Linked DNA regions of Oryctolagus cuniculus. The protein of the gene in region 2 purifies or fractionates together with the protein of the main gene of each other region. This does not show direct contact. Links are inferred from orthologs where the notes say so. Each region holds a gene or a part of one and is shown on either strand. Other genes may lie near its edges. The genes, in order: TOB1, CNOT1, CNOT6, TNRC6C, OBI1, TNKS1BP1 and CNOT10.

Region 1 (4,078 bases), on a different chromosome or scaffold from region 2:
GATCCAAACACTAAGGTCCTGTGGCAGATTGCCACGCACATCATCGATGTCCAGACCACTCTCTTTGGACGCTTGTTCAATCACTGGGTCCACTTTCTCCCCTATGTGTATACATCTAAACCCTGATCCTCTGTATGGCTTTTCAGGATACCAGTGCCCTTCATATTTCTTCTTAAGAAGTCTTTCAAGCTCTTCACCAAAAATGTTGACACGTCTCCTGGGAAGCTTATTGTACAAATATGAAATAATAAAATTGAGTGCTACTTGGATTTCAAGCTGCATAGCTGCTATGCCACAAAATTAGGTTTGTTTCAACTCTCCCACAAAAAAAAAAAAAAAAAAAAAAAAAAAGGCGTTCAGTGTGTGGCAGAGAAACAAATTTTCATTCAAAGTGCTGGTTTTAGAAGATTATCCTTCACCTTCGGCGCTCTCGTCCTTTACAGAAAACAAAACAAAAGCAGATATGTCCAAGTAAGAGACGTGCAGCGTCAAATCCCATGACCTTCACTCTATTCCCCCCGCAATTTCACTTTTTAAAAATGCCTCATAGGCTAGACAGCCTGAAAAACACAACCCACACGAAATCAACATGCAATAGAAAATTGTTTCTTAAGGCTCAAAATCTCGGGGAGATGTAAATTTATAGTTGAAATAAACAGTCTTCAAAAGAATCATTTACTGAGTAGAGTTCTAAGAAAAGTATCTACAGAATACCTTTTTTTTTCCTTCCCCTTCCTCCAAATTCTCACAAAAATATTTACTGGAAATTCAATTCCGCATTCCCACTCACTCACCCCCAGCCCCCACACATATGCCACTGGTAGAAGTTGATCGTTAATTGTTAGCGCTATCCACCGACTTGGAAGTGAATCCTATCTCAGTTCTATCTGGTTATAGACTGTTTAATCTGCACCATCGGTAAACATGTGGAAATTTGAGAAGCCAGGAAAACTCATTTCAAAGTACATGATGCTAAAATTAAAGGGACTATAGGCCGAATGAATCTGTCATCCTAGTCAACGATAAGCACGCACTAAATCACCTGCGTGGACGCGGGGACTAACTATACTAAGGCAGGCACACGACCCCGGGCCTGGCGGTGCGTCCCTCTCTACCTCTGGAAACACCTCCTGGACAGCGAGAGCAAAGCAAGTGCTTCTCTGGCACCGCACGGGAGCGACAAATGAATTTCCGAACACCGATGATTCTGCTTAAAGGGCAGGGCTGGAGTTTTATTCTGATTTTGAAAAGCACCTCCCAGCCTCTCAGGATAAGAGAACAGCCATGAGGCACGTATGATAAGGTCGACCTTTACACGCTTGCTGGGTCAGCACTGGGTGGGGATAAGGAAAGATCAAGGGCAAACACAAGATATTTGCAAAGGAGACCTGTGTGTACAGGGAGATGGATGGGAAAGGTCGTGCAAAGACCGACCTGGCAGCCCCGCTTCCGTTTTTCCCCTGCTCGCGGCGACAAAGGGAAGGGAGCCCCCGGCTGCGCCCGAACGACCCACACTTTCCGAGCCCCACGCCCGAGTGCGGGCAGAGGCGGCCGATGAGGCTCGATGGCTGGAAGGTGCCGCCGAGCGCATTCGGGCTGGGCGGAAGGTAGTTTTCAGGCGGCGCCTGAACACGGGAGTGTGGAGAATTACATAAACAGCCAGTTCTCATTAGATTTCTGCTCACAGCGCCCGGAGCCCAAGCGCTACGGCGGCAGCTACAGCAGGAGGAGGTGGAGGAGGAGGAAGAGTACGAGCTCCCGGGGAGGAGGAGGAGGAGGAGGAAGGGGACAACGACGACGAAGGCCACGGGAAGGGGAAAGGCCAGCTCCCGCGGCCGGGCACCGGGCACCGGGCAGGTCCGGCGCCGCCGGTCAGCCGCTCCCCTCCCCCCGCCGTAACCTGACCCGCCTCTCCCCGCCCCCGCCCCCCGCCCGAGGCTCCTGGGACCCGGCCAGGGCCCGGGGAGCACCGGCTCCCCGGCACCATTTTCGGCCTCAGCGGCCACCGGCCCCTCGCACCCCAGCGTTGCCCGCGAGCTCGCCGCCCCTCCCGGGAGCCCCAACCCCCGATTCCGGCGGCTCGCCCCGGGCCTCCCTTCCCGGTCACCCGCCGGGCCCCCGCCGAGCCCGACGCCTCGGGGCCGGGCGTCCGGAGCCGCTCCCGTCGGGTCCCGGGAGCTGTCCGTCCGCGCCCACGGCCGCGAAGCCGCCGTCCCCGAGCCCCCCACCCCCACCCCACCCCGAGGGCCCGGGGCTCGACGACGCTGCAGCCCCTCCTTCGGCGCCCCGGTCTGGGCTCCCGTCTCCCTGCCGCCCGCCGCCTCGCCGATACTTACGGGCTGCTGCGGGGTTGCGTCCACCACAGGCTGGCGGCCGGGAGGGCAGAAGGGGCGGCAGGGCGGGGGCGCGGGAGCGGCGAGTCGACCGAATGCAAGACGTCGTCGCCGCCGCCGCCGGACGGAGGACGCAGGCCTCGGGCGGGCCTCAGGAGCTCGCGGCTTCTGGCTCGGGGTGGCGGGGACGGGGGTCAGGCGAGCGCGCTCACTTCTCCACACAGCCCGGTGCCCCGGCCCAGCGTCCCCGTAGAGCGCCCACTCCACGCCGGGCCAGAGCTTCGCTCCTTCTGCCGCGGCGCGCGCCCCGCCTCTCGTTTTATATTCTTCTCCCTGCCCCCAATCCCCTCCGTGGGGGTGCGCGCGCCCGCCCGCGTCACACAGCTTCGGGGCGGCGTAACCATTCCCCGCCCTCCCCGTCCAGCACCCCGGACTCTCGCCGGCTCGCTCCACCCCGGCCCTACCCCTCGACGCCATTGGCCAAGTCCCGCCTGCCCATGTCCCGTCGGGCGGCGAACGGCCCGGGTGGGGGAAGGCCACACCTCCTCGGGCACCAGAATGGCCAATGAGCCGACAGTCTGGAGGGGCTGTGGGCGGGACCAAGAGGAAACTTAGACGGGGATTGGAGGAGAGACGTGTCAGAGAGGGTAGAAAGGGGTGGGGCAGGGCTGCTGACGCTCGGACGCAGCCGAGAGCGCCAGGAGGCAGGGGGAGGGGAGCGAAGCAGGTGGCAAAGCGGCAGGGGGAACGGGGCGGACGGCCCGGGACCTCGAGAGCGAGGGGTCGGGTGCAGAAAATGCGCACAGGCCCGAGCGGGACTGTGACCGAGGAAAATCCCTCTGGTGGATGAGCTACCAAGTCGACCTCTGGCCCACGCCGAGGGAGTCTAGACTGGGACTGGGGCTCGTGCGCTCGGTTAATTGAATATTAATCACCTCAGGGCCTAGGCCAACTGCCACCGGCAGAGTGGCAACTGCAGAACCCAAAGCCGCCGGGCTGGGGGTGGGGACGGGAGGCCAGCTCGCCGCACCTTCCGCCCAGGTGACAGTTTAACCGCCTCCGCCGTCCCGCGTCAGGCCTCCCCGGGCGACCCGCAGCGGCTCGGAGCTGGGGGTGGCCCGAGGCCGTAAGAAGGAGCACATGTCACTCCCAGGGCCCCTCGGTGGCTGGGGGGTGGCGCCGCCGTGCCAAGCTGCGTATGTATCTGTGTGCGTGTGCGTTTGTGCATGGCAAGGGCGTTAACACAGGTGCACGGAATAAACACGGCGCGTTCCGGAGGGTTTTCGGTGGACGTAGGTGCGGAAACCTAGGGAGCGGGGCGAGAGAGGGACCCACGGGGGACGGGCAAGCGGCTTGTCAGAACCGGCCGCGGAGAAACACACCGAGCTACACTGGGAGCCGTGGGGCGTCCCTCGCAGCTAAAAATATTACTCACAGGTAGCAACGACGCCTGATTGGCCACGCGCGGCCCCTGAGGAGCAGGCGATTGGCCGCCTGGTATCCAGGAGACGGACGTCAGAGTCGGACCCGCTGGAGCGGAGAGAAGGTCCAGGGGGAGCGAGGGCGGGAGCGGGCCTCGGGGCCGTGAATGGAGCGCCCTGCGCCCTGCGCCCTGCGCCCGGGCGCGCTTCCCGGAACACCGCCGCTGCCGCCGGCCTTCGCCCGCGGAAGAGCGGGGCTCGCGGAAGGCGGTGCGCGGCGTAGACCCGCTGCGCTGCGCGGGCACGAACCCGCTTTCTGTGTCC
Region 2 (3,500 bases):
TTTCATCTGGGTCTCCACGTGGGTGGCAGAGGCCCAAACACTTGGACCACTACTTTTGCTGGTTTTCCCAGGCCATTAGTAGGGAGCCTGATTAGAAGTGTAGCAGCTGGGACACAATTGGTGCCCATATGTAGCTTTACTTGCTGGCCCCACAATTTTTGTTTGATAAGTGCTCTATACTAATGTAGCCTGAAAGTAATCTGTTTAGTATTTTTTGTGTGCTCATATTTAGCTTGTCTGTCATGTCAACTCAGGTGTGGAGGTTTCCTCTTGTGTTATCATGTCAACACTGAAAAAGTTTCCAGTTTTAGAGTATTTCAGATTAGGGTTTTCAATCTGTGCTTATTATTTCTGTAATATAAAAAGCTTCAAAAGATAAAAATGTCACTGTTAATGTTCAGAAGTGGTGGCTTGGCACCGGCACTGTGGGATAGCTAGTAAAGCTGCAGCCTGTGGCTCTTGCATCCTATATGGGCTCAGTTCCAGTCTTGGCTGGTCCACTTCCAGTCCAGCTCCCTGCTAATGCACCTGGGAAAGCAGCGGTTCATGGCCCAAGTACCTGGGTCCCTTTGCCCATGTGGGAGATGTGGAAGAAGCTCCTGGTTCCTGTCTTCAGGTCACCTCAGCTCCAGCTGGTGCAGCCATTTAGGGAGTGAACTAGCAGATGGAAGATCTTTCTGTCTTCCCCTCCCACACCCTCACCCCCAAAATATGGTGGCTTGGGCTTTATTGGATAACAGAGTCTGAAGTGTTTGGTTACGAATTTTCTACCATAAGCTAATTCTCACATCTAAATTCTCTGCCCTTTCAGGTGCTCCTGACTTCAGATAAAGCTGCTGCCAATTTTTCAGATCGTTCTTTGTTGAAGAACTTGGGACATTGGTTAGGAATGATCACATTAGCTAAAAATAAACCCATCTTACACACTGTGAGTTTCAGCTTAAAAGTTTTATGTTAAGTTTGATAATGTGCATGTGTCTAAAAGTCTTGACTTTGGGGCTATTCTAATGATTTTTTTTTTGTAAAATTTTGGCCCATATTTTGATTTCCTAATATTTGCTCATGGTTCTACATCTTTTAGGATAAAGAAAAGCCAGCAACGTGTGATGGTCACCCCTTCCTTTTTCTAAGGCAAGGGTCAGATACTATGTTGATTTTCTATTTTGGGGATGAGCTTAGTGAGATCCCATTGTATGGGTACTTTATGAGAGTTTTGTAGTATATGCCCAGCTTTTGAAAGTACTTCTTTTTTTCTAGGATTTGGATGTTAAATCTTTGCTGCTAGAGGCTTACGTTAAAGGACAACAAGAGTTGCTCTATGTAGTGCCCTTTGTTGCCAAAGTCTTAGAGTCCAGCATTCGTAGTGTGGTGAGTAAATTTTAATATGTCATTTATGGATAATATGAGTTGTATCATTTCAACCCAGGAGTTTATTCCTAGTTTTGTGCATTCTGCATTTGCAGTTAGAGTTGAAATTAGAGGTCTGATGCTGATGGATGACTTTTGAGTTTTTCTGAAGCAGATGGGAAATTTCTGAAGTAGATGGGAAATCTGGGGGATTTGTTATAGCCGTGTGGGTATAAATGTTTTAAAATACCCAAATTAAAGGGTGCTCTCTGGGCCAACTTAACATAATGGTTTTTACTTCAGGTTTTTAGGCCACCAAACCCCTGGACAATGGCAATCATGAATGTATTAGCTGAGCTACATCAGGAACATGACTTAAAGGTAAATTTATTTCTTTATCCTTTAGAACATTGTCTGCCTTCACAGAATTAACATTTAGAATGAAGGCAGAGTGATTGGAGTAGGGGGGATATGCACGGTAACAGTTGTTGAGGGTGGAATATGTTATGAATAAAACTAAATTTTTGTTTTAAATATTCTAATCAAATATTGGAATTATGATGCAGTTAAACTTGAAGTTTGAGATTGAGGTCCTCTGCAAGAACCTTGCATTAGATATCAATGAACTAAAACCTGGAAACCTCCTAAAGGATAAAGATCGCCTAAAGAACTTAGATGAACAACTCTCTGCTCCAAAGAAAGATGTTAAGCAGCCAGAAGAACTCCCTCCCATCACAACTACAAGTAAGTATGATAGTCTAGCCTTTTGGTAACCAGAATATTCTCTTACTAACTTAATCTTACTAGATTCTGTCTTGACAGTTCACACATTCTTCAGTAATTTGTGGTTTAGTCACTCATTGCTCATATATTAGTCACAGCGGTTAGTTATGTGAAGTCTCAGAATTAATTGCCTAGTATGATGGCCTGTGTTATCCTTCAAACCTAGAGTTTGCCAGACTAGATGGCTTTATGAAATGGATATATTTTATATATATGAAAAGGATTGGAGGTGTAGGGGTGAGGTTTTGGGATGCTGAGTGGTTGGGATGTATGTCTAGAATGAACCAGCTTTTGTTTGCTCCTAGCAGCAAAGATATCCTAAGTAAACTAGAGAAGCAGGTGAGGTTGAAAATAGACATCTGTAAAAAATAGACTTGAGCCTATAAGGTTTGGGCCTGCTGTTGTGACAGGATCCCTCAATTAAGTTCTGTGCTTTGGGGCACTATTAGTGATGTAGTTTTGTGTGCTTTGAAAACGTCTGTTATAATAACAAAACTTATCTCTCAGAGTGGGAAAGACTCCTCCCTCAGAGCAATCTGATCTACTTAATTAGATAACAATGGCTTGTTCAGATAATTGTCTAGTAGCTTCAGCAGGTGTTTTTAAATGTTCTGTTTATTTTATTACTTACATTTAGCAACGTCTACTACACCAGCTACCAGCACTACCTGTACAGCCACAGTTCCACCACAGCCACAGTACAGCTACCATGACATCAATGTGTATTCCCTCGCAGGCTTGTCACCACACATTACTCTGAATCCAACGGTAAGTCAGCACTGCTCCTTTCCCCTTGTTTCTAGTTTGTGAGCTGTTTCATCACTTTGCCTTCTCTCTGGACTCTTTGTCAAAGTATAGATCTGGAACTGCTATGTGGTATAGTTGGGATTTTTGATTTCTTTTAAAAATAGTCAGAAATGCCTTGAAATTAGTCACTGGTTCCTCTTACCCAAACCTGGGAAAATAAATTAAACTGGTGATAAAATTTTGATCTCTTGAGATTTCTTGACATAGGTCAAAAGACTTATGGTGTATGTTGGCTCTTATTTATATTTTCATGTCACATTAGCTTTGTATTAAGCTATTTGTCCTGGAAGATGACTGCAACTAAGCAGATTTTTGTGTGTCTGTAAAATTTCCCAACTAGGGTCTTGAATGAGTTAGTACTTTCAGTTAGGTTGTTGAGGTCAGTTACCAGGAGTGAATCTGATCTAAGGTCATGTAAAGTAATCTCTCATAAGTACTTTTCCCTAAACATGAAGCTAATATTTATTCTGTAGATTCAGAATTGCTTGTTATCTTTAGCCTTTCACACCCCTTCAACCAACAGGATTTTCTTGAAAGATTATTTATTTGAAAAGCAGATCAAT
Region 3 (3,500 bases), on a different chromosome or scaffold from region 2:
GCGGCTACCGCGCTGCGCCAATCCGAAACCAGGAGCCAGGTGCTTCCTCCTGGTCTCCCATGTGGATGCAGGGCCCAAGCACTTGGGCCATCCTCCACTGCACTCCCGGGCCACAGCAGAGAGCTGGACTGGAAGAGGAACAATGGGGACAGAATCCGGCGCCCCAACTGGGACTAGAACCCGGTGTGCCGGCGCCGCAGGCAGAGGATTAGGCAAATGAGCTGCAGCGCCGGCCAGAAAATACAGTGTTTTGATAGCAACCATGAGAAATATATTTGATTTTTGCTAACTAATTATTAAAATTAAAATATTTTCATATGGGGCAGACATTTGGCCTGGTGGTAAAATGAGGCTTAGAACTCAATAAATAAAGACCCACATCCCATGTTGGAGTGCCTGTTTCATCCATGCACTAGCTTCCTGTTAGTATTTACCCTAGGAGATAGCAGATGATGCTCAGGCTTTTGGGTCCATGCTACCCCATGGGAAGCCTGGATGGCTCCTGGTCCAGCCCCAGCTGTTGGCGGTCTGTGAACATTTGGGAAAGTGAACCAGTAGATAGAAGATACCTCTCTTTCTCACTCTTCCGCTCAAAATACAATGAAAATTTAAACCGGTAAAGCTGCCGCCTGCTGCACCAGCATCCCATATGGGCACTGGTTCAAGTCCCAGCTGTTGCTCTTCTGATCCAACTCCCTGCTAATGAGCCTGGGAAAGCAGTAGAAGATGGTCCAGTGGCTTGGGCCTCTGCACCCATGTATGTGGAAGACCCAGAAGAAGCTCCTGGCTTTGGACTGGCCTTGCTCTGGCTATTGCAGCCATTTGGGGAATGAATCAGTGGATGATGTGTCTCTCCCTCCCTCTCTGTAACTCTGCCTTTCAAGTAAATAAATAAATAAATTTTTAAGCCTATTTTATGCACATAATATCAGGCCCTGTTTTTTATTTTTTAAACCTTTTATTTGAAAGGCAAAGAAATGGAGACACACAGAGGTATTTCATTGGCTGGTTTACCCTTAAATGTCAGTAACAGCTAGGGCTGGGCCAGGCTGAAGCCAAGAACCTGGAACTCATTCTATGATTCCCATGTGGGTTTAAGAGACACAAGTACTTCAGCCATTCCTGCTGCCTTCCAGAGTGCAGATTAGCAGGAAGCTGGAATTGGAAGTGGAACCAGAACTCAAACCCAGGCACTCTTAAATGGGTGCAGGCATCTCAAGTGGTGGCTGAATTGCTGAGCCAAATGCCCATCCCTAACTGCATTCTCTTCCAGAGTTCTAGTGTTGAGCCATATACCAAGTAAATAATTTAGTATAAATAGACACCTGTGTACTAAGACGACAATTGTGGTGATAACTTTTAATTCGTTTAAAGTGAAAACAACCTGAATTTTCAAAAATAAGGAACTAGTTTAGCAGGCACTGTACCTTATTATGTAGCCATTAAAGAAAAATAATAGGAAAGTGTACCTGCTCATGTGATACAGTTTTAAATGAAAAAAAAAAAAATATATATATAAAATATTCAGTGTACTAAAACAAGTTTAGACAGAGTCTGGCAAAGTTTTTAAAAGAAAACTTGTAGGGGCCAGCCCTGTGGTATGGTAGGTTAAGGGCACCGCTGTCCCACATGGGCGCTGGTTCGTGTCCAGCTGCTCCTCTTCTGATATAGAGATGGCCCAAGTGCTTGTGCCCCTGCACCCACATGGGAGACCCAGAAGAAGCTCCTGGCTCCTGGCTTCGGCCTGGCCTAGCTCCAGCCATTGTGGCCGTATGGATATAAGACCTCTTTCTCTGTCTTTCCCTCTGTCTGTAACACTGCCTCTCAATAAATCTAAAGAAAAAGAGAAACATTATAGAAAGTGGGAATATTTATACTATTGCATGATCTTTTAAATTGCATCTTGTGCCCTGTATATTGTACTTGATAATGAAAAAGTATATTTCTTTTTATTTTAGGTGTTGTAGAATATTTGAGCACTGGTGGAGTAGAAACAAATCATAAAGACTTTAAGGAACTGAGATACAATGAAAGTCTTACAAACTTCAGCTGTAATGGGAAGAATGGAACAACCAACGGAAGGATCACTCACGGTTTCAAGTTAAAGAGTGCCTATGAGAGTGGCCTGATGCCTTACACGAATTACACATTTGATTTCAAGGTGTGTCCTGAGATTGGCAAGCTTATAAAACCTCAGCTAACCAGCAAGCCCTCTAACTTCTGGATGTCTTTAAAATGGGGGTATGGGAGTGGGCATTTAGCTTAGCAGTTACGATGATGTGTCGCACATAAGAGCAACTGGGTTCTAGTCCAAGCTCCTAACTTTGATCCTGCTAATGCAAACCCTTGAAAGCAGTGGTGATGGCGCAGGTAGTTGATTTCTTGCTACTCATGTGGGATACCTGGATTGAATTCCTTGCTTTGGCACTGGCTAGTATAAGCATTTGGGAAGTGAACCAATAAAATAGGAGTAAACAGGGGGCTCTGTCTCTGCTTCTCAAAAAATAAAACAGTGGATATATGTTCAGACTGGAATTAAACAATCTTAAATTTGTCGACAGCAATATTCTTCTGTTAGTCTTCTGTAGAATACCTTACTAGCAGTTGGATATGCTGTACAGTGTTATCTAATTTAGTATCATTTGGGGTGAGGTGTTGCTTCTATTATATTTTAATTTAACCAAAACTGTACTCCTTTGAAAGATAGCATATGGTTTCTTTAGCTATTCAGAGATTTTTATTGTTTTAATATTTAATTTACTTCAAAAGGAGAGGGAAAGAGACATACAAGAGAGAGAAGACCCTTGGTTTACTTTCCAAATGCCTGTAACAGTGGGGCTGGGCTCTCCTCTCCCTCTCTGTCCCCCTTTCCCTCTCTCTCTTTTAGCTCTGTCTTTCAAATATATAAATCTTAAAAAAAATTCAGATGGGAAGAAGAATGCTTTGTTTTGTTGCATTTGACCTTTGAAGGGATCATTCCATTTGTATAGTACTAGTAAGTTTCTTTTTACTTTTCTTTTTATTAACCCAACCTAACATAATGGTAAGGCTGTGTCTTTGAAAACATTAAGTATTTTGGTATTAATCCTATGTGGGGCTTTGTCTTTTTCTTGTTGTTTTTCAGGGTATAATTGACTACATCTTCTATTCTAAACCTCAGCTGAACACGTTAGGCATCCTGGGACCTTTGGACCACCATTGGTTAGCTGAGAATAATATCAGCGGCTGCCCACACCCTCTCATCCCCTCTGACCACTTCTCACTTTTTGCACAACTGGAGCTCTTACTGCCTTTCCTGCCCCAAGTTAATGGCATTCACCTTCCTGGCAGGAGGTAGTCAAGTACCTTCAGAGGACAACCTCAGTTTTACTTGTAAACTCGTGAAAATCTGATGATGGGAGTGAGGTATGGCCACTAGGGATTGTTTTGGTTTTTTTCTTAATGATGATTTGAAATTTCAATCTGATTACTTTGTAAGGATTTAGTATGAAAGCCAGGTG
Region 4 (4,300 bases), on a different chromosome or scaffold from region 2:
GGTTCCTGCCACCCAGGGGAGATCCAGGTGGAGCTCCTGGCTCTGGCTTGCCAGCCCTGGCTGTTGTGGGTGTTTGGGGAGTGAACCAGCAGATGGTTGACTCTTTGCCTATCACCTTGCCTTTCAAATAAATAAATCAATCTTTTTAAAAAAATGTACATATTAGAGTAATAAGCTGATAAAGCACTCAAATGTTGACCTAAATAGAAAAAAATTTGACAAATTATATTGTTGCAGGAAAAACACACAGATACTAAGAGGTTTGTTGATATGTCTCATAAAAATGTGAAATATGAAAACTCTTATTTCAGCATTGAGGAAGAAAACTTATCTGAAAAATACAAATTATAGAAAAATTTTATTTTCAAACCTATACCAAGTTTAGATTGCAAAAAAAGAAAAAAAAAGTCCCGACAGAAATCCTGGAGGAACTACTTGATTAGAGAAAAGTGTCCTGTTATGCTGTTATGGGCTGCACTGTTATGACACAATTAGGCTCAGGAGCTAGCCCCTCCCTCAGCAATCAGGAACAGCACACCAACCGCTGGGCCGCGGAACCCCCCCCCCCATCCCGCCCCTTTAGAGTCACAAACTGCCCTTTCTACTTTTTAAGCTACTTCCCGCCTTTTAACAACTTGTTTTTTAAAAAAAAATTATTTATTTATTTTAAAGTCAGAGTTACACAGAGAGAGAAGAGGCAGAGAGAGAGAGACAGAGACAGAGAGAGAGACAGAGGGGTCTTCCAATTCACTGGTTCACTCCCCAGTTGGCCACAATGGCTGGAGCTGCGCTGATCCAAAGCCAGGAGCTTCTTCCGGGTCTCCCACGCAGGTGCAGGGGCCCAAGAACTTGCACCATCTTCCACTGCTTTCCCAGGCCACAGCAGAGAGCTGGATGGGAAGTGGAGCAGCCGGGACTCGAACCGGCACCATATGGGATGCTGGCACTGCAGGCGGCGGCTTTACCCGCTACGCCACAGCACCGGCCCCTTTGAACAACTGTAATACTCACAGTGTGTAGGCTGTATGTACTGCATGCCCCATGTCCAGGCACCAATTTCAAAAAGCAAATGTTTCCTAAGACTGTCATAAAGTACATCCTGCTAACTGCCATCATTTTGATTGATTTGTTTTCTAAATTTTTATTTGTTTTCATTTTATTTAAAGGCAGAGAGAGAGAGAGAGAGAGATCAGTTGATCGACTTTCCATCTCTGGCTTACTCCTCCGATGGTGGCAACAGCAGGGCTGGGCCAGGCTGAAGCCAGCAGCCATGAACCCCATCTGTGTCTGCCACGTGGGGGCAGGGGCCCAAGTGCTTGCGCCCTCACTGCTGCCTCCCAGGGCGCATCAGCCGGGAGCCGGGTGGGAACGAGAGGAGCCGGGGCTTGACCCAGGCTCTCCAAGCAGCAGCTTAGCCACTACGCCACAATGCCTACCCTGATTTCTTACAATATTACACCTAGAGTTTACCTCTCCCAAGACTTGAGCAGAATCAGGTCTAGTAACGGGTTCATACGTGTAGGGCACTGACTTACAATCTGCCCTATCGGGGAAGCAACTAGCAGTTTACCAGATCACCCTCACGACAGCCTCCGTCCTCAGAGCGGCGGATGCACAGGCGACGCGCTCTTGCCCAGACAGCGACGCTGAGGCCCTCAAATCTGCAGTGGCGGCTTTACTAGACGCGCTCTCGCAGCCTCCTGCGAGTCAAAAAGCCCGATGGGAAAACTCAGCAGTTCTCTGGACAGCCAGAGACAGTCCAAGTGTGAAGGTTTCTGATGGTCTTGCTTAATCCAAAGACAAAACTTAGACAATCAAAGAATCCTCCATAAATACCAAGTTCCAGTGGAAACACACACAAGCAAGCAGCCAGCATCGAGTTACGCAGTCTCTGGAAAACCCAAGGGCAGCAAGAACTGTAACTTACTAGGCACTGGGCTGTGCAGATCATTGAGATCCATGATCTCAGTCACTCCTCAAAGCAACCTTGTTGGAATGGACACCACCTGAGCCTTCAAGGCCACATGTGCTCACACAGTGACTGAACTGTCAGTCAAATGTCACTCACCGCATCCGCCATACTGCACAGCACCCCCAAAGAGTGCATGCTCTTGGGGCCGGGGCTGTGGCACCAGCATCCCATATGGCTGCTCCGCCTTCAATCCAGCTCCCTAGTGGCTTGGAAGAGCAGAAGATGGCCCAAGTGCTTGGACCCTGTACCTGCGTGGGAGACCGGGAAGGAGCTCCTGGCTCCTGGCTTTGCATTGGCCCAGCTCCAGTTGTTGCAGCCATTTGGGGAGTGAACCAGCGGATGGAAGACCTCTCTGTCTCTCCCTCTGTAACTCTGCTTCTCAAATAAACAAATACATATTTTAAAAAGCCTTTAAATTTCTTTTACATTTTACTTTTATTTATTTGAAAGGGAGGGAGGGAGGGAGGGAGTAGGATGGGGGGAGACAGACAGATACAAGAGCGCTCCTACCTGCTGGCTCCCTCCCCGAATGCCTGTAAGGGCCAGGGCTGGGCTGGAGCTGGGCATCTAACACTCATTCCAGGTCTCTCACATGAGTGGCAGGAACCCAACGACCTGAGCCGTCATCTGCTCCTCGAAGGGTGTGCGTCAGCAGCAAGACAGAAGCGGGGCAGAGCTGGGGCTCGAGTCCAGACACTCGGATGGAACGAGTACATCTCAGCTGGTGGCTTAAGCGCCCTCCCGCCGGCCGCCCTCCCGCCTCTCCAGTCCACGGCTGGAAGGTCTGCAGGTTCTTCCTCACGCCCACGGCCCCACACAGGGAGGCTGGGAGGTCTGCAAGGTCTTCCCTCACCCACGGCCCCACACAGGGAGGCTGGGAGGTCTGCAGGGTCTTCCCTCACCCACGGCCCCACACAGGGAGGCTGGGAGGTCTGCAGGGTCTCCCTCACACCCACGGCCCCACACAGGGAGGCTGGGAGGTCTGCAGGGTCTCCCTCACACCCACGGCCCCACACAGGGAGGCTGGGAGGTCTGCAGGGTCTCCCTCACACCCACGGCCCCACACAGGGAGGCTGGGAGGTCTGCAGGGTCTTCCCTCACACCCACGGCCCCACACAGGGAGGCTGGGAGGTCTGCAGGGTCTCCCTCACACCCACGGCCCCACACAGGGAGGCTGGGAGGTCTGCAGGGTCTCCCTCACACCCACGGCCCCACACAGGGAGGCTGGGAGGTCTGCAGGGTCTCCCTCACACCCACGGCCCCACACAGGGAGGCTGGGAGGTCTGCAGGGTCTCCCTCACACCCACGGCCCCACACAGGGATCTGGGAGGTCTGCAGGGTCTTCCCTCACCCACGGCCCCACACAGGGAGGCTGGGAGAGGGCTCCAGATGCACTCAGTGAAGCTTCTTCCCGCAGGAAGATGAGGATGCGTTCTGGGGCTAATGGCGACTCTGGGCCGGGGCACCGGCCCGCTTCTGCAGACGTCCCCAATACAGGGTGACTCTTCTGAAACAAAGCGATGCGTATACACACACATCTGAGCTTGTGTGTTAGGTGACCGAATGATACATAAGCTTGGACTCCACGGAGCATGACCAGAAGCACTTGGGTAGGGCTTCTCAAAGGAGAAGGCGGCACCAACTGCCTACGCAGCCGCAGAAGGACCTCCATTCCTGCAGGACGACGGCGCGGCACAGCTACACAGCGGCCCTTCCAGGTGGACCTGCTACAAAGCACTGCATTCTACCCAACCTAAGACGCCTCAGACAGACGACGCACAGTGCTTCTGTGCATCACTAAGAAAGAAATGCTGCCGATCACGCCCTGCTATACGCATCCCACTGGATGTAAGGCAAACAGCAATTCTGGAGATGTAAAACGTGCGAAATGTGTTTCAGGCCACAGCAGAGAGCTGGACTGGAAGAGGAGCAGCCTAGATTAGAATCCGGCACCCATATGGGATGCCAGCACCGCAGGTGGAGGATTAACCAAGTGAGCCATGGCACCGGCCCCTGAAATAATTATTTTTATAAAATTTAATATTCAGGGCTGGCGCTATGGTGTCATGGGCTAATCTTCCCCCTGCAGCACCGGCATCCTATATGGGCACCAGTGGAGTCCGGCTGCTCCTCTTCCAATCCAGCTCTCTGCTATGGCCTGGGAAAGCAGTGGAGGATGGCCCAAGTCCTTGGGCCCCTGCACCCACGTGGGAGACCTGGAAGAAGCTTCAAGCATTGAAGTCTCAGAATTCTGCCACCACCAGTTTCCTTTCATCACCTCAAAAGTTTTCTCCCGATTGTCCTCACCCTTCTGGATGAAATGAGTCA
Region 5 (4,221 bases), on a different chromosome or scaffold from region 2:
CAGATGCTTTATATCATATAGATGGAATTCATATCAGGGATAGGCCATTTCTAGTACATGACAAATATGATATGTGTGGAAAACCAAGTAGCACAGCAGATTGGATTTGCTTTAACCATACAAAAGGCAAAAGAAATATGGAACTAGCTAAAAACCATGGATATACTATGACAATTTCCAAAACCAATAGATCCTTAGTTGAGAATGTGAACTTTCATTTATAAGTGCACTAGACTCACAAAGCAACTGGGTACAAGAACAGTTACTAGAAAAGGATTTTTTTTTTTTTAATCCAGTCGAAGGGCCTGCTTCGGTGCTCACAGTAAGAACTAACAGTTATTGGATACTATTACGTGCCAGACTTTATTGCTAAGCATTGTATATGCTTCATTTAATCCTGCCCCAAATTCAGCCACGGGAATTGATACTACTGTCATTGCCACTTTACAGATAAGGAAACTGAGGTTCAGAGAGGTTAAGTAACTTGTATAAGGTCATATAACTAGTATGTGGTAGAAACTAGAGTGGAACCCAAAGTAGTCTGAATGTACAATTCGGCCAACACACCATTCTACTTCCACAGCAGGCAGAAAAAGTCTGTTTACAAACTGTCAATCTTTTCAATTTTATCTGATTTGATTTTAGAATAAAGCTACCTAAACAAAACTAAGCATGGAGGGAAAAGATACTAAACATGACTACTGTCATGGATGAACCCAGGTGAGTGTTTCAGAAAGTATTCTACTGAAGACATTAATGATAATAACAGAAGTTTGATCACCAGTATCTCTAAGCTTTAGTTGCTCTATTGCATGAATGAGAAAACTGGTACTGTCTCATAGTATTGGTGTGAGAAATAAACAACATAACTACACACAAAAGCATTTTGTAATATGCAAAGCACTAGAAAAGATTTATATCTTATCTGAAATGCTGGGAGCAGATACTTCAAATTCTGGATTTTTTTCCCCCAGACTTTGGAGTATCTGCATATACCATAGGGATGGGATACAAGCCTAAGCACAAAATTCGTTTATGTTTCTTATATACCTTATCCACATAACTTGAAGTAATTTTATACAATATTTTTAGTGCAACTATATTTTGACTATGACCCATCAGATGAGGTCAGATGTGGAACCTTCTACTTGTGGCTTGTGTCAGGACTCAGAGTTTTGGGCTTTGGGACATCTTGGATTTCAGATTTTGATGCTCTACCTGTATTTTATTAGGCAGCACTTTTGTTAACTACAAAAAACACAGGCTTGATAAGTAAAACAGGCAGAACACATTTCCAACATAATTGCAAAAGACAGACTATAAACTAATGGAAAGTATATATACTATATACAACTAAGATATCTCAGAAGAATATTTTTATCAGCTTAATTTAATGCCAGGGTTTGTGGAAATTCAGAATTTATCATATACTTTTGGGGTCCTTACGTCAGGAGCCAATTGTGCAGGATTGTAGCAAATAGAAACATCACTTCTCCTGCTCCCACCCATGCATGCAGGCATGGTAGCAAATGCCAGCTCAAATACCACTCCTGAGGAGGCCATCCTTGATCTCTCCAGTCCGAAGGATCAAGCTGACGCCTAGCCGCTCTCGCAGACATTGGCTATTTCGTTAGCATTTCTTTCTGACTGGTATCAAGAGTTAACGGTTGCTTCCCATCTTGACTTCCTCCCAGTTCCCACAGACCCTCAGCCACCTAAGGCAGATAGATGATGATTCTGGCTGACTCAAAAAGCTTGCTATATTAAGTATGCATTTCTCAATTCTAAGCCTGAAGCAGCAGTCTCAGTCTGCACCTGGGGGTGAACATACACCAAAAACTTAAAAACAATTCTGTCTGGCAAAAACCTGATTGTGCACAGTATCTGCTCCCTTCTTGATCTATACGGTCAAGAAACGCTCTTTAAAAAAACTGAACGGGAGGCACAAATTTAAACGAAAGAGAGGAAACCTAAGGGACGCATCAGAACACTCACAACTCCGTTTCTAATTCGGAACTACTTTCTCCACCTTGTTCCACACATTAGGCACCTTCGCATCACAAAGAGAGGGTTTCTATCTCGTGATTGATCCCTCGTTTCTAAATACCTTCCAGGGACACGTACTATTTGCTTCCAAAATTCTGAACCCAGAGCAGAGGCCAAACTCAAGGCCGGGATAAGAAAAGGTTCCCCAATTAGCACAGCAGGCCGGAGAACAGGTACTTTGGTTGCACAGAGCGCTAAGGAATCTTAGGCGGGGTACCTAGAAAATGTGCTTCAGGGCCACGCACCGCACGAGGTTGCACAGGGCTAAAATGTGACTGCGATGCGTTTCTGACCGGGCCTCCTCCGCGGCAGGCGTCGGCCCGTGAGGGCCGCCTCGCCGGCCTCCCCGTAGAACCCGGGCCGCTGTCATCCTCCTCCCAAAGGCGCCCAGATGAACCCCTTCGTCACGGCGCGCCCCCTCCGTCGCCCAGGTTGCGGACCCCCTCGCCTAGGAGAACGCGGGCTAGCGTCCTCTCTGGTCTCGGCGCCTCACGCCCCTTCCTTCCCAGCCCCGCATGGAGTCCGCCCTCGGCTCTAGCGAGCAGCTTCATCCCCAACCCCGTTTCGTAGCTGTGCCTGGAAACACCCATTACCTTCCCCAAGCATATGTGGCATGTGATGGGCAGAGTGAGCGACAATGTAACGTTCTGCACGGTCTGAGCCATGGCAGCGTTCAGAATCCCGCCAACACGGAAGTCCCGCCGACAGCGGCTCCTCGCCACGACTGGGGACGCGAGAGGCCGGCTACGGCGGCCGGGCAGGGCCACAGTCCGCCAGGGAGAGGAAACTAAAACGCGCTTTGGAAATGCGCCGTCGCTCGGGCTTTTCGTTTTAGTTAAGCTAAAACTAAACTAAACTGCTTTCTCTCACTAGGAAGCTGTAGGGTTCCTGAAAATGGACAGGAAGATGGTTTGCTCCAGGCATCGACGATCCTGAAAATTTAAGGAAAAGCGTAATAGTGTCGTGAGGGGAGAACGACGCGGGAAGACGACTTTAAGCGCTAAGATGTTTTACCCCGGAAGGTTGGATGTGAGGTAGTTTTCTCCCTCAAGATAAAATTCCACACAACAACCACACAATACAGTGAAGACGCGAAGACACTTAACTTTACATTTTGATTTCTCAAAACAACTTTCCACCTTTCTCAGCTGGCTTTCCCTCAAACCACAGGGTGTGCTTCAGAGGACGCGATAATTCACTGGAAAAACGGTGATTGTCTCCTTATCTTAGGGTATTGCGGGAGCAATCTAGTTGTGTTTAATCGCAGCTTTCCTTGAGGACTCTCACTTTTGGCCTTTCTGTGGAATCCACTTCAAGAAAATTTAAGGATTATAGTGTTCCAGCTCAGAATTCTGCCAATAGTGCTGGCTAGCAGCTTGCACAATCACAAATGCGATTATTATTTATTTATTTACCTACTTATTTATTTAAGACAAAGTGAGCTGCTATTCACTGGTTTATTACCCAAGTGCCTGCAAAGGGGCAGGGAAGGCAAACCAGTCCTCCCACGTGGGTGCCAGGGACAAGTCCACTTGAATCATCACCTGCTGCCTCCACTGGTCTGTGTTAGCAGGAAGCGGGAATCATGAGGTGGAGCCCTTGAACCCAGGCCCTGCGGTAAGATCCTGAGTGTCTTCACCACTAGGCCAAGTGTGGCAGTCTGCACAATGCTTTTTAATGCCTTCGTTTCAAGTGCATGATTGGATAGGAAATGTACCGCTGTGTTGGTGAACTCCAAAAGGAGAATTCGTGAAGTTATAAATTAGCATTTCCTAAACCACGAAAAAGCAAAAATCTAAATGAATCTCATGCAAGAGATTTGAGATTTAGCTGTATCTCACTTTAAGTGAGGAAGAACTGATGTGATAACTTATGCAAACAAATATAATCTGTGAGTTGGGAGATGTAGAAGCAAGACCAATGTAACAACTATTACAATCTTTCTGACAAAGAAGCAGTGTGATCTCAAGAAGCCAAGAGTGGAACAGGACTGCTGCTGTGGAAAGCAAAGCCTCAACAACTTCCTAGATCTATGGCCTCAAGCAACTTATCTAACGTTTCTCAGTATTAGTTTCTTCATTGTGTGTGTGTATGTGTGCGTGTGTTTGTGTTTGTATCACATGAGGTCAACATATGCTTACTGTCAAGTCTGAAGGAGTAGGTAGGGACCAGTGT
Region 6 (3,500 bases), on a different chromosome or scaffold from region 2:
GCGGGCAAGGGGCGAGGGGCGGGAAGACTGTCCAGCTTCCACTCAGCAAGCATCCCAGGGGACAGCGCTAATCCCCAACCTGCACCTAACAGGTTAAACCGCCCAGCTCCTGCAGGAAAAGCGTCCCATATACCCAGAAGATAAAGCCTCCTTCCTTTACCCCGGAAGGGTTAAAGTTCTCCTCTAGCCCAGGAGACTGCAGCTGGTCCCAACTGTCCTGCCAATATTCCTTGGGAGATTGGGGGTGGGAGGGAGGCTGGGGGGGAAGTAGGGGAGAGGCTTTCCAAGGCTGAAGTTGTTCCTCTTAAGCTCCACGTGGAGAGAGGAAGGGGCAGAGAAGGGAGAGCAGAACCCAGCCTGACAACCTCACAGCGCCCTGGTCTACGTCTCCAGGTGAAAGATGGGCAGGGCTGGACAGCAGGGCAGGGCAGGGCAGGGGCCTTCGGCTTCCACACAGCCAGACCACAGTAGCCCTGGCCTTCACAGCAATGCAAAGCAGAAAAGAGTCCCTGGGCCCAGCCCAGCCTGCAGCTGACTCTGCCTGCCCAGAGGGCCTTGTGCAGCTGATCGCTCCTGAGATTCCTGAGCCTCCTCCAGCGACCTGTGCCCCCACCCCCACCCGCAGGGGTACCTCCTAGCCAGTCTTCCTCTGCTCCAGTGCAAAGGGGAAATGGATCATATGCAATATGCAAATGTATCCAACCAGGTGTCATCTCTGTGCAGGAAAGAGCTGGGCCAGCATCACCATGTGCTCCTGTCTTCTGTCTTCCATAGAGCCCTCCTCAGGGGGCTCTGCCCCACTGGTCCACACACACACATACACACACACACACACACACACACACCTGCACCCCAAACCTGACACTCTGCACACAGGAGGGGCCTGGCAATCAGACCTGAATGCAAACCCCCTTTCTGCTTCTTACTTGCTGAGGGACTGAGCCTTTGTCTCCCCATCTCTAAAATGGATCTAACATTCCCTTCACCAAACAGGATTCAAGGAGGCAAGGTTTGCTGCCCAGTTCTCAGTATATAGAAAGTAAACTGGGCCGGCACTGCGGCATAGTGGGTGAAGCCGCCGCCTGCAGTGCCAGCATCCCATATGAGCCACGGTTCACGTTCTGGCTGCTCCACTTCCTATCCAGCTCCCTGTTGATGAGTGAGCCTGGGAAAGCAGTAGAGAATGGCCCAAAAGTTTGGGCCCCTGCACCCAGGTGGGAGACCCAGAAGAAGCTCCTGGCTCCTGGTTTCGGTCTGGCCTCGCTCCAGCCACTGCGGCCATTTGGGCAGTGAACTAGCAGATGGAAGATCTCTCTCCTTCTCTGTATCTCTGTAACTCTACCTTTCGAATAAAATAAATAAATATTTTAAAAAATAGCAAGCAAAAAAGAAAGTACACTTCTATCCTGTGTGATCGAACACTCTGCGATACACATGCATCCGTTCTGTAAAGAGAATGACAATGTTTGTTTCAAAAGCACACAGCAATGACAACGCCATCTACCAAGGCAGGGCTTTGTGACTTAGACCAGGTCTGTCCATATTCACAGCACACAACCAGCCTCAAGATGAAAGTCATGGCCCCAAACAGGGCCACCCACTTGGCCCTTGGCCCTCAGAGCCCTCCAAGCTACAACAAAATATATAGCAGGACGCCCCACCCCGTGCCTCACCTCTCCTCGGGGGTCTTGCTGTGTTCTTCCTGGCACTCTACAGGAGTCTTTGCCAACCCCTCCTGGGGACAATCTCTGGCCAGGCTCCTGCTGTCTTCCTCCTTGGGACCAGCAGCCACACCGTAGGTCCTGAGGCCATACCGTGAGCTACCATCGTGGTTAAAGGTGAGGCGGGAGCCCCAGAGGCGGTCGGGGCTGGCAGGCACCTCCTTCCGGGGCTGCTCCATCTTGGCCAGGATCTCTTCCACCGTGGTGGCCGCAAAGCGCTCTGAGGCTGGACGGAAGGGGGCAGGGGCCTTGCGCACGCCCCCTGGGGCGGCACAGCGAGCTGGGGGCGTCAGAGGAGGCAGCTCCTCTTTCCCAGCCTCTTCTTTCCCAGGCTCTGGGGTGGCTTCTCCTCCAACAGAGGTCTCGGTCGTAGGCCTCGGTGCAAAGGGAAGGGGACGCTTGCTGCCCCCATAGGGCTGGGGTCCCGCCAACATGTTCATCTTCCGGGCAGAAGGTAGCTCAGCCAGGGGACCCCGGGGGGGACGAGGCCCTACAGGCACCAGGAGGCTGGGCTTAGCAGGCAGGGCTGGCTTGGCAGGCAGAGCCCGGGGTTTAGGCTTCACAGGGGGTTTGGCCCGAGGGTCACCTACAAAAGGAAAGAGGAGTGGGTGTGGGGGGCTGTCAGAAGAACCAAGAAGCAGAACTTCTTGTGTTTCTTGTTCCACCTCATCTCCCACCCTCCAATTTCAGAATGCTCACGCCTGTGTAGGCACAAGTCAAATGCCACCTCTTCCATGAAGGCTTCCTTGATTTTCCACACACATTCCAGAAACATCTTCTCCCTTCTCCAAACTCCCAAAGTTATTTCACCAGTTCCCCTTTTAAACTAAAGCTATGTAAGGGCCCTGCTGGCACCTCACTTCCCCTTGCACCCTACTTTGTACCCAGCACATGCTCTAATCAAACACATGAATGAATGAGCCAATAAACAAATATCTCCCGCCACACCAGTCGCCCACTGTCTTCCCATGGAGCCCTCTCCCCGCTGCATCCCCCACAGTAAACTCACCCCAACTCTGTTTCTTCATCCTGCCTTCCAGCTACCCCCGCCTCCAGCACACACCCAGGCCACCTCCCCACTGTCATCCGGTGTGTGACCAAGGAATGCAAACTTACTATTGACCTAAGCCAAACAAAAGTAAATCTGCTACAGCGGGGGAAAAAAACTCAAAACCAAGACCAGAAATCTTCCTTCTATATAAGGCATTCCAATGCCAGATAAACAGCATCGCAATCACTCCGGGTCACAGCCCTTCTAGTGGAACCCTCGATCACCCGCTCAGCTGGCTAAGAGTCTAGAGACATGGAGGCAGGAGCCTGGGTGGGTGCACTCCAGGCCTCCCTCTGGGTCTCAGGGGTCCCCTCTCCCGGCCGCAGCCCCTGCCCCCACCTGCAAAACACACAGCTGGACCCACATCACCCCCATGGGTCCTGTCTGCCCTTAGAGGTGCTAGAGCCGGGCCGAGGGCCTTCCCACCCTATCCCGCACTTCCTAGTACTGCGGCCCTGCCTCGCAGCTACCTCAACACACTTCAACTCAGCTACCCCCCAGGATGGAATGGGGGTGCAGCCTGCGCCCTTCCCACCCTGCTCTCAGCCACCGGCTCCACCCTGCACCCATGGGTACCTGGCTCGGAGCCAGCGGGCAGCAGCTCCTCCTCCGGCTCCCGGGGCGGTGGGGAAGCCATGGCTGTGCTTTCCCTGAGAGTAGACACTTTCATCACATGCGGCAGATCCTGCTTGAGAAATAGGAAGCAGAGCGCGTGAGCGGCGCTGGCT
Region 7 (4,286 bases), on a different chromosome or scaffold from region 2:
CTCATTGTCAGTGGCAGTGTTCTGCTTTGCCTGTCTTCCAAGCGTGCTGACCCTAGTTACTCGAGGTCTGTGACTGGCAGGATGCTACGGTTTGTGGCACTGCTGCTGGTATGACTGGCTTATCCTCTGGGCCAGTTCTCCAGCTCTTCTGTCCAACTTCAAGTAGAGGGGACCTGCTTTAGTGACTGCTTGTACTGTAGAACGTGGCTTCACTGGTCGTGTTTTACTTCTCGGAGCTTTGTAGAAATTAGTCCTTTTTTATAGTTTCTTTATAAAAAATGATTTACTTATTGGAATCAGAGTTAGAGAGAGAGAGGGAGGGAGGGAGAACCCAAAAAAGAGAGAGCGCTTCCATCTCCTGGTTCACTCCTCAAATGGCCATGACAGCCAGTGCTGGGCCAGGCTGAAGCCAGGAGCCAGGAGCCTCATCGGGGTCTCCCATGTGGGTGACAGGCACTGCCACTCTCCCCTGTTTTCTCAGGCACATCAGGAGGGAGCTGAATTGGATGGAGCCAGAGCAGCCAGGTGTGGAACTGGTGCCCGCAGGGGATGCCGGCATCGCAGGCAGGAGCTTAACCTGCTACACCACAAGGCTGGCTTTTTTTTTTTTTAAGGATTTACTCATTTATTTATTTTAAAGTCAGAGTTATACAAAGCAGGAGAGGCCGAGAGAGAGAGAGAGGCCCTCCATCTGCTGGTTCACTTCCCAAATGGCCGCAATGGCCAGAGCTGCACCAATCTGAAGCCAGGAGCCAGGAACTTCCTCCGGGTCTCCCATGCGGGTGCAGGGGCCCAAGGACTTGGGCCATCCTCCACTGCTTTCCCAGGTCACAGCAGAGAGCTGGATCGGAAGTGGAGCAGCTGGGATACAAACCGGTGCCCATATAGGATGCTGGCACTGCAAGTGGCGGCTTTACCCGCTACGCCACAGCACCGGCCCCAATACTGGCTTTGAAATTAGTATATGTGGGGTTTTGTTAAGTCAGAAATACTTGTTTAGATGATAGAAACCACATTTGAAGTGTCTTAACCTTAGCTATATGGTGACTTTAGTGAACCTGAATTGATTTTTTTTATTTTTTATTTTTTGAAGTGGTAACCTTTTTCTTTTTTTCTAGAAAGAGAGCTCCCATGTGCTGGTTCTCTTCCCAGATGTCCACAAGAGCCAGTACTGGGCTGTAGCCAAAACTTGGAGTCAGAAACTCAATCCACATCTCCCATTTGGGTGGCAGTTCCCAGTCACTGAGCTGTGGCTGCGGCCTCCCAGGACAGGAAGCTGGACTCAGGAGCTGGGGATCAAAGCTAGATGCTCCGTGTGAGACATGGGAGTCTCAACCGTGAGGCCAGGCATCCTCCTCAGGCCTTTCAGTTTCCTCATTTCTTTGGAAACGTCTTTCTTTTCTTGAACATCATTGGAGCTATAGCTAGTAGTCATCCTCCAATCAGATTTGAGTGGTTAACATTCTGTGCTGGAATGTGTCTGTTCTTTCCGTTAACTGACTTTTTATGGTTTTGAAAAAGCAGTACATATCTTTTCTACTTAGTTCAAACCAAAAAGCAATTATTTGGTTAGAAATGAAGTCCGTTGGCTTAAAGAATGTCAAGGCTTGTGGGTCAAAGAGCTCTGTTCGCCTAGAAGGTCAGCCGTGCTCCTTAGGCCAGAGCAGAAGGAAGGTCAAGCTTATGGATGAGCGGTCGTATACTCTGTCCATTGGCAATGGAGACTACTTTTGGACAGATAAAGACACGCTGTGGAATTATGTGCAGTCTCTGTCTGGTAAGAAGTGAGCAGTTACAAATAATGGACATTGAAAAAACATTCTAAAACTGACTACAAAAATGAATACTCTTAAAAAAAAAAAAAACTTGAGAAGCATAGATAAGCAAACATAATTTTTATCTTGGGTGGCTGTTTAGCGTGGTGGTTGGGATGCCACCCGGAAGCCCACATCCCTCACTGGAGTGCCTGGGTTCACGTCCCGGCTGCTGCTGACCCAGCTTCCTGCTGAGGCACACTCTGGGAGTAGCAGATGCTGGCTCAAGTGCGTGGATTCCTGCTGCCCAAATGGGAGACCCGGGTTGAGATCCCAGCTCCTGGCTTCAGCCTGGCCCAGCCCTGGGCGTTGTGAACATTTTGGTTGTGAGCCAGTGGATGAGAGCTCTCTCTGCCTCTCAAAGAAATATTTTTTTTTTTTAAGATTTAGTTATTTAGGCCGGCGCCATGGCTCACTAGGCTAATCCTCTGCCTGTGGCGCCAGCACACCAGGTTCTAGTCCCGGTTGGGGCGCCAGATTCTGTCCCGGTTGCCCCTCTTCCAGGCCAGCTCTCTGCTGTGGCCAGGGAGTGCAGTGGAGGATGGCCCAAGTGCTTGGGCCCTGCACCCCACGGGAGACCAGGAGAAGCACCTGGCTCCTGCCTTCGGATCAGCAAAGTGCTGGTGGCCGCAGCGTGCTGGCTGCGGTGGCTGTTGGAGGGTGAACCAACGGCAAAAGGAAGACTCTCTCTCTCTCTCACTGTCCACTCTGCCTGTCAAAAATAAAAAAAAATTATTTATTTACTTGAAAATCAGAATTACACAGAGAGAGAACTAGAGGCAGAGGGAAAGAGAGGTTTTGCATCCGCTGGTTCACTCCCCAGATGGCTGCAACACCTGGAGCTGCGCCAATCCAAAGCCGGGAGCCGGGAGCTTCTTCTGGGTCTCCCAAATGGGTGCAGGGTCCCAAGGACCTGGGCCATCTTCTACTGTTTTCCCAGGCCACAGCAGAGAGCTGGATTCAAATTGGAACAGCTGGGACTCGAACCTGTGCCCATTTGGGATGCCGGCACTGCAGGTGGCAACTTTACCCGCTACGCCACAGCTACGCTGACCCCTAAGAAATATTTTTAAATTCGTTGTTTAAAATTTTATGGTGAGTATTTGTGGAATGGGAGATTTTGCTTCGATCTAAAACTTATACCTTGCCTTTTTTTTTTTTTTTTTTTTTCAGTTAATGTATTTATCTGAAAGAGTTACAGAAAGAGAAAGAGATGTTCCATCTGCTGGTTCACTGCCCAAATGGCCAAGGAGCCTGGAACTCCATCCAGGTCTCCCATGTGGGTTGCAGGATTCCAACTCTCAGGCCGTCACCCGCTGCCTTTCCCAGCACGTTAGCAGTGAATTGGATTGGAAATACAGCAGACAGGTCTTGAAACTGCTGCTCATTTAGGATGCTGGCATCGCTGGCGGAAGCTTAAACCCATTGCTCCGCAGTGCAGGCCCCATGAACACTGATTTATCTGCTAACTTTATCAGAATTAACATTTCTGGGACTGGTGTTGTGCCAGAACTGGTCAAGCAGCCACTTACAGCACTAGTATCCCACATGAGTGTAGGTTTGAGTACTGGCTGCCCCACTTTTGATCCTGCTCCCCCCCACCCCATGCACCTGGAAAAGCTACCCTTTTGTGGCCATTTGGAGAGTGAACCAGCAATGGAAGATCTTGCTCTCTTGCTCTCTCCTCCTCCCCTCCCCCTTCTTCTCTCCCTCCCTAACTCAGCCTTTCAAATAATCTTTTCTAAAAAAGAAAGAAGTAACATTTCACAGAATGCCCTTCTTATAGGGCAGATAAGTTCTTAGATTGATAGGTTCTCAAAAGCAGATTATTGTTAGTATAAATGTGATTTGAGAAGGGTGTAGACATTTCACAGTAATCTAAGGCGGTCTGTAATCAAGTTACACTAAATTAACTTCATTGTCAATTTGTGTGGTTAAAGATTTATTTATTTATTTAAAAGTCAGTTACAAAGAGAAAGATGGAGAGAGAAAGACCTTCCCTCCATTGGTTCACTGCCCAAATGGCCGCACCAGCCAGAGCTGGGCCAGTCCAAAGCCAGGAGCCAGGACCTTCTTCTGGGTCTCCCACATGGGTTCAGGGACCCCAACACTTCAGCCATTCTCCGCTGCTTTTCCCAGGCACGTTAGAAGGAAGCTGGATCGGAAGTAGAACAGCCGGGACCTGAACTAACGCCTTTACGGGTGCTGGTGTTGCAGGCAGCAAAGCACAACGCCGGCCCCCACTTTGTGTGTTTAAAGTACAGACATAAGTGTATTTAAAAAAATAACCATAGGAAGCCTTAGTTGTCCTGGCAGAGGCAGAGGGAAAGGGAGCTGGTGGTTATTTAGCGTTTCCAGCTAAAGACAGGCCAAGAATAGACTGTACCGACTGAGTGACAGGTTCCAAGGCGTGTGCCCGTTTCCTTACACCATACTGGCTCTTGAAAGAGGAAGGCTGGGAACCCCCGCTGG

What was found.
Region 1: the proteins of CNOT1 (region 2) and TOB1 purify together in Homo sapiens (co-immunoprecipitation; 3 studies listed by BioGRID and IntAct, counting the BioPlex papers as one, with this or other methods). This does not show direct contact. The link is inferred for Oryctolagus cuniculus from reciprocal best matches to the Homo sapiens genes CNOT1 and TOB1.
Region 3: the proteins of CNOT1 (region 2) and CNOT6 purify together in Homo sapiens (affinity purification with mass spectrometry; 5 studies listed by BioGRID and IntAct, with this or other methods). This does not show direct contact. The link is inferred for Oryctolagus cuniculus from reciprocal best matches to the Homo sapiens genes CNOT1 and CNOT6.
Region 4: the proteins of CNOT1 (region 2) and TNRC6C purify together in Homo sapiens (co-immunoprecipitation; 4 studies listed by BioGRID and IntAct, with this or other methods). This does not show direct contact. The link is inferred for Oryctolagus cuniculus from reciprocal best matches to the Homo sapiens genes CNOT1 and TNRC6C.
Region 5: the proteins of CNOT1 (region 2) and OBI1 purify together in Homo sapiens (affinity purification with mass spectrometry; 3 studies listed by BioGRID and IntAct, with this or other methods). This does not show direct contact. The link is inferred for Oryctolagus cuniculus from reciprocal best matches to the Homo sapiens genes CNOT1 and OBI1.
Region 6: the proteins of CNOT1 (region 2) and TNKS1BP1 purify together in Homo sapiens (affinity purification with mass spectrometry; 5 studies listed by BioGRID and IntAct, with this or other methods). This does not show direct contact. The link is inferred for Oryctolagus cuniculus from reciprocal best matches to the Homo sapiens genes CNOT1 and TNKS1BP1.
Region 7: the proteins of CNOT1 (region 2) and CNOT10 purify together in Homo sapiens (affinity purification with mass spectrometry; 4 studies listed by BioGRID and IntAct, with this or other methods). This does not show direct contact. The link is inferred for Oryctolagus cuniculus from reciprocal best matches to the Homo sapiens genes CNOT1 and CNOT10.

What each region holds. Positions count from the first base shown.
Region 1 is NC_091448.1:26,684,815-26,688,892, forward strand, and holds the start of TOB1 (protein Tob1), read right to left. Parts: upstream 2,801-4,078; 5' UTR 2,337-2,800; intron 436-2,336; 5' UTR 283-435; coding exon 1-282. UniProt on the Homo sapiens protein: Anti-proliferative protein; the function is mediated by association with deadenylase subunits of the CCR4-NOT complex. Mediates CPEB3-accelerated mRNA deadenylation by binding to CPEB3 and recruiting CNOT7 which leads to target mRNA deadenylation and decay.
Region 2 is NC_091449.1:41,830,809-41,834,308, reverse strand, and holds part of CNOT1 (CCR4-NOT transcription complex subunit 1), read left to right. Parts: intron 1-811; coding exon 812-928; intron 929-1,257; coding exon 1,258-1,368; intron 1,369-1,650; coding exon 1,651-1,728; intron 1,729-1,913; coding exon 1,914-2,091; intron 2,092-2,767; coding exon 2,768-2,898; intron 2,899-3,500.
Region 3 is NC_091437.1:66,985,930-66,989,429, reverse strand, and holds part of CNOT6 (CCR4-NOT transcription complex subunit 6), read left to right. Parts: intron 1-1,958; coding exon 1,959-2,161; intron 2,162-3,124; coding exon 3,125-3,337; 3' UTR 3,338-3,500. UniProt on the Homo sapiens protein: Poly(A) nuclease with 3'-5' RNase activity.
Region 4 is NC_091448.1:3,394,959-3,399,258, forward strand, and holds the start of TNRC6C (trinucleotide repeat-containing gene 6C protein), read right to left. Parts: upstream 2,801-4,300; 5' UTR 2,551-2,800; coding exon 2,483-2,550; intron 1-2,482. UniProt on the Homo sapiens protein: Plays a role in RNA-mediated gene silencing by micro-RNAs (miRNAs). Required for miRNA-dependent translational repression of complementary mRNAs by argonaute family proteins.
Region 5 is NC_091440.1:33,579,099-33,583,319, reverse strand, and holds the start of OBI1 (ORC ubiquitin ligase 1), read right to left. Parts: upstream 2,801-4,221; 5' UTR 2,712-2,800; coding exon 2,640-2,711; intron 1-2,639. UniProt on the Homo sapiens protein: E3 ubiquitin ligase essential for DNA replication origin activation during S phase.
Region 6 is NC_091432.1:14,798,518-14,802,017, reverse strand, and holds part of TNKS1BP1 (182 kDa tankyrase-1-binding protein), read right to left. Parts: intron 3,461-3,500; exon of another isoform or gene 3,458-3,460; 5' UTR 3,443-3,457; coding exon 3,349-3,442; intron 2,308-3,348; coding exon 1,674-2,307; intron 1-1,673.
Region 7 is NC_091435.1:169,316,735-169,321,020, forward strand, and holds the start of CNOT10 (CCR4-NOT transcription complex subunit 10), read left to right. Parts: upstream 1-1,486; 5' UTR 1,487-1,506; coding exon 1,507-1,777; intron 1,778-4,286. UniProt on the Homo sapiens protein: Component of the CCR4-NOT complex which is one of the major cellular mRNA deadenylases and is linked to various cellular processes including bulk mRNA degradation, miRNA-mediated repression, translational repression during translational initiation and general transcription regulation.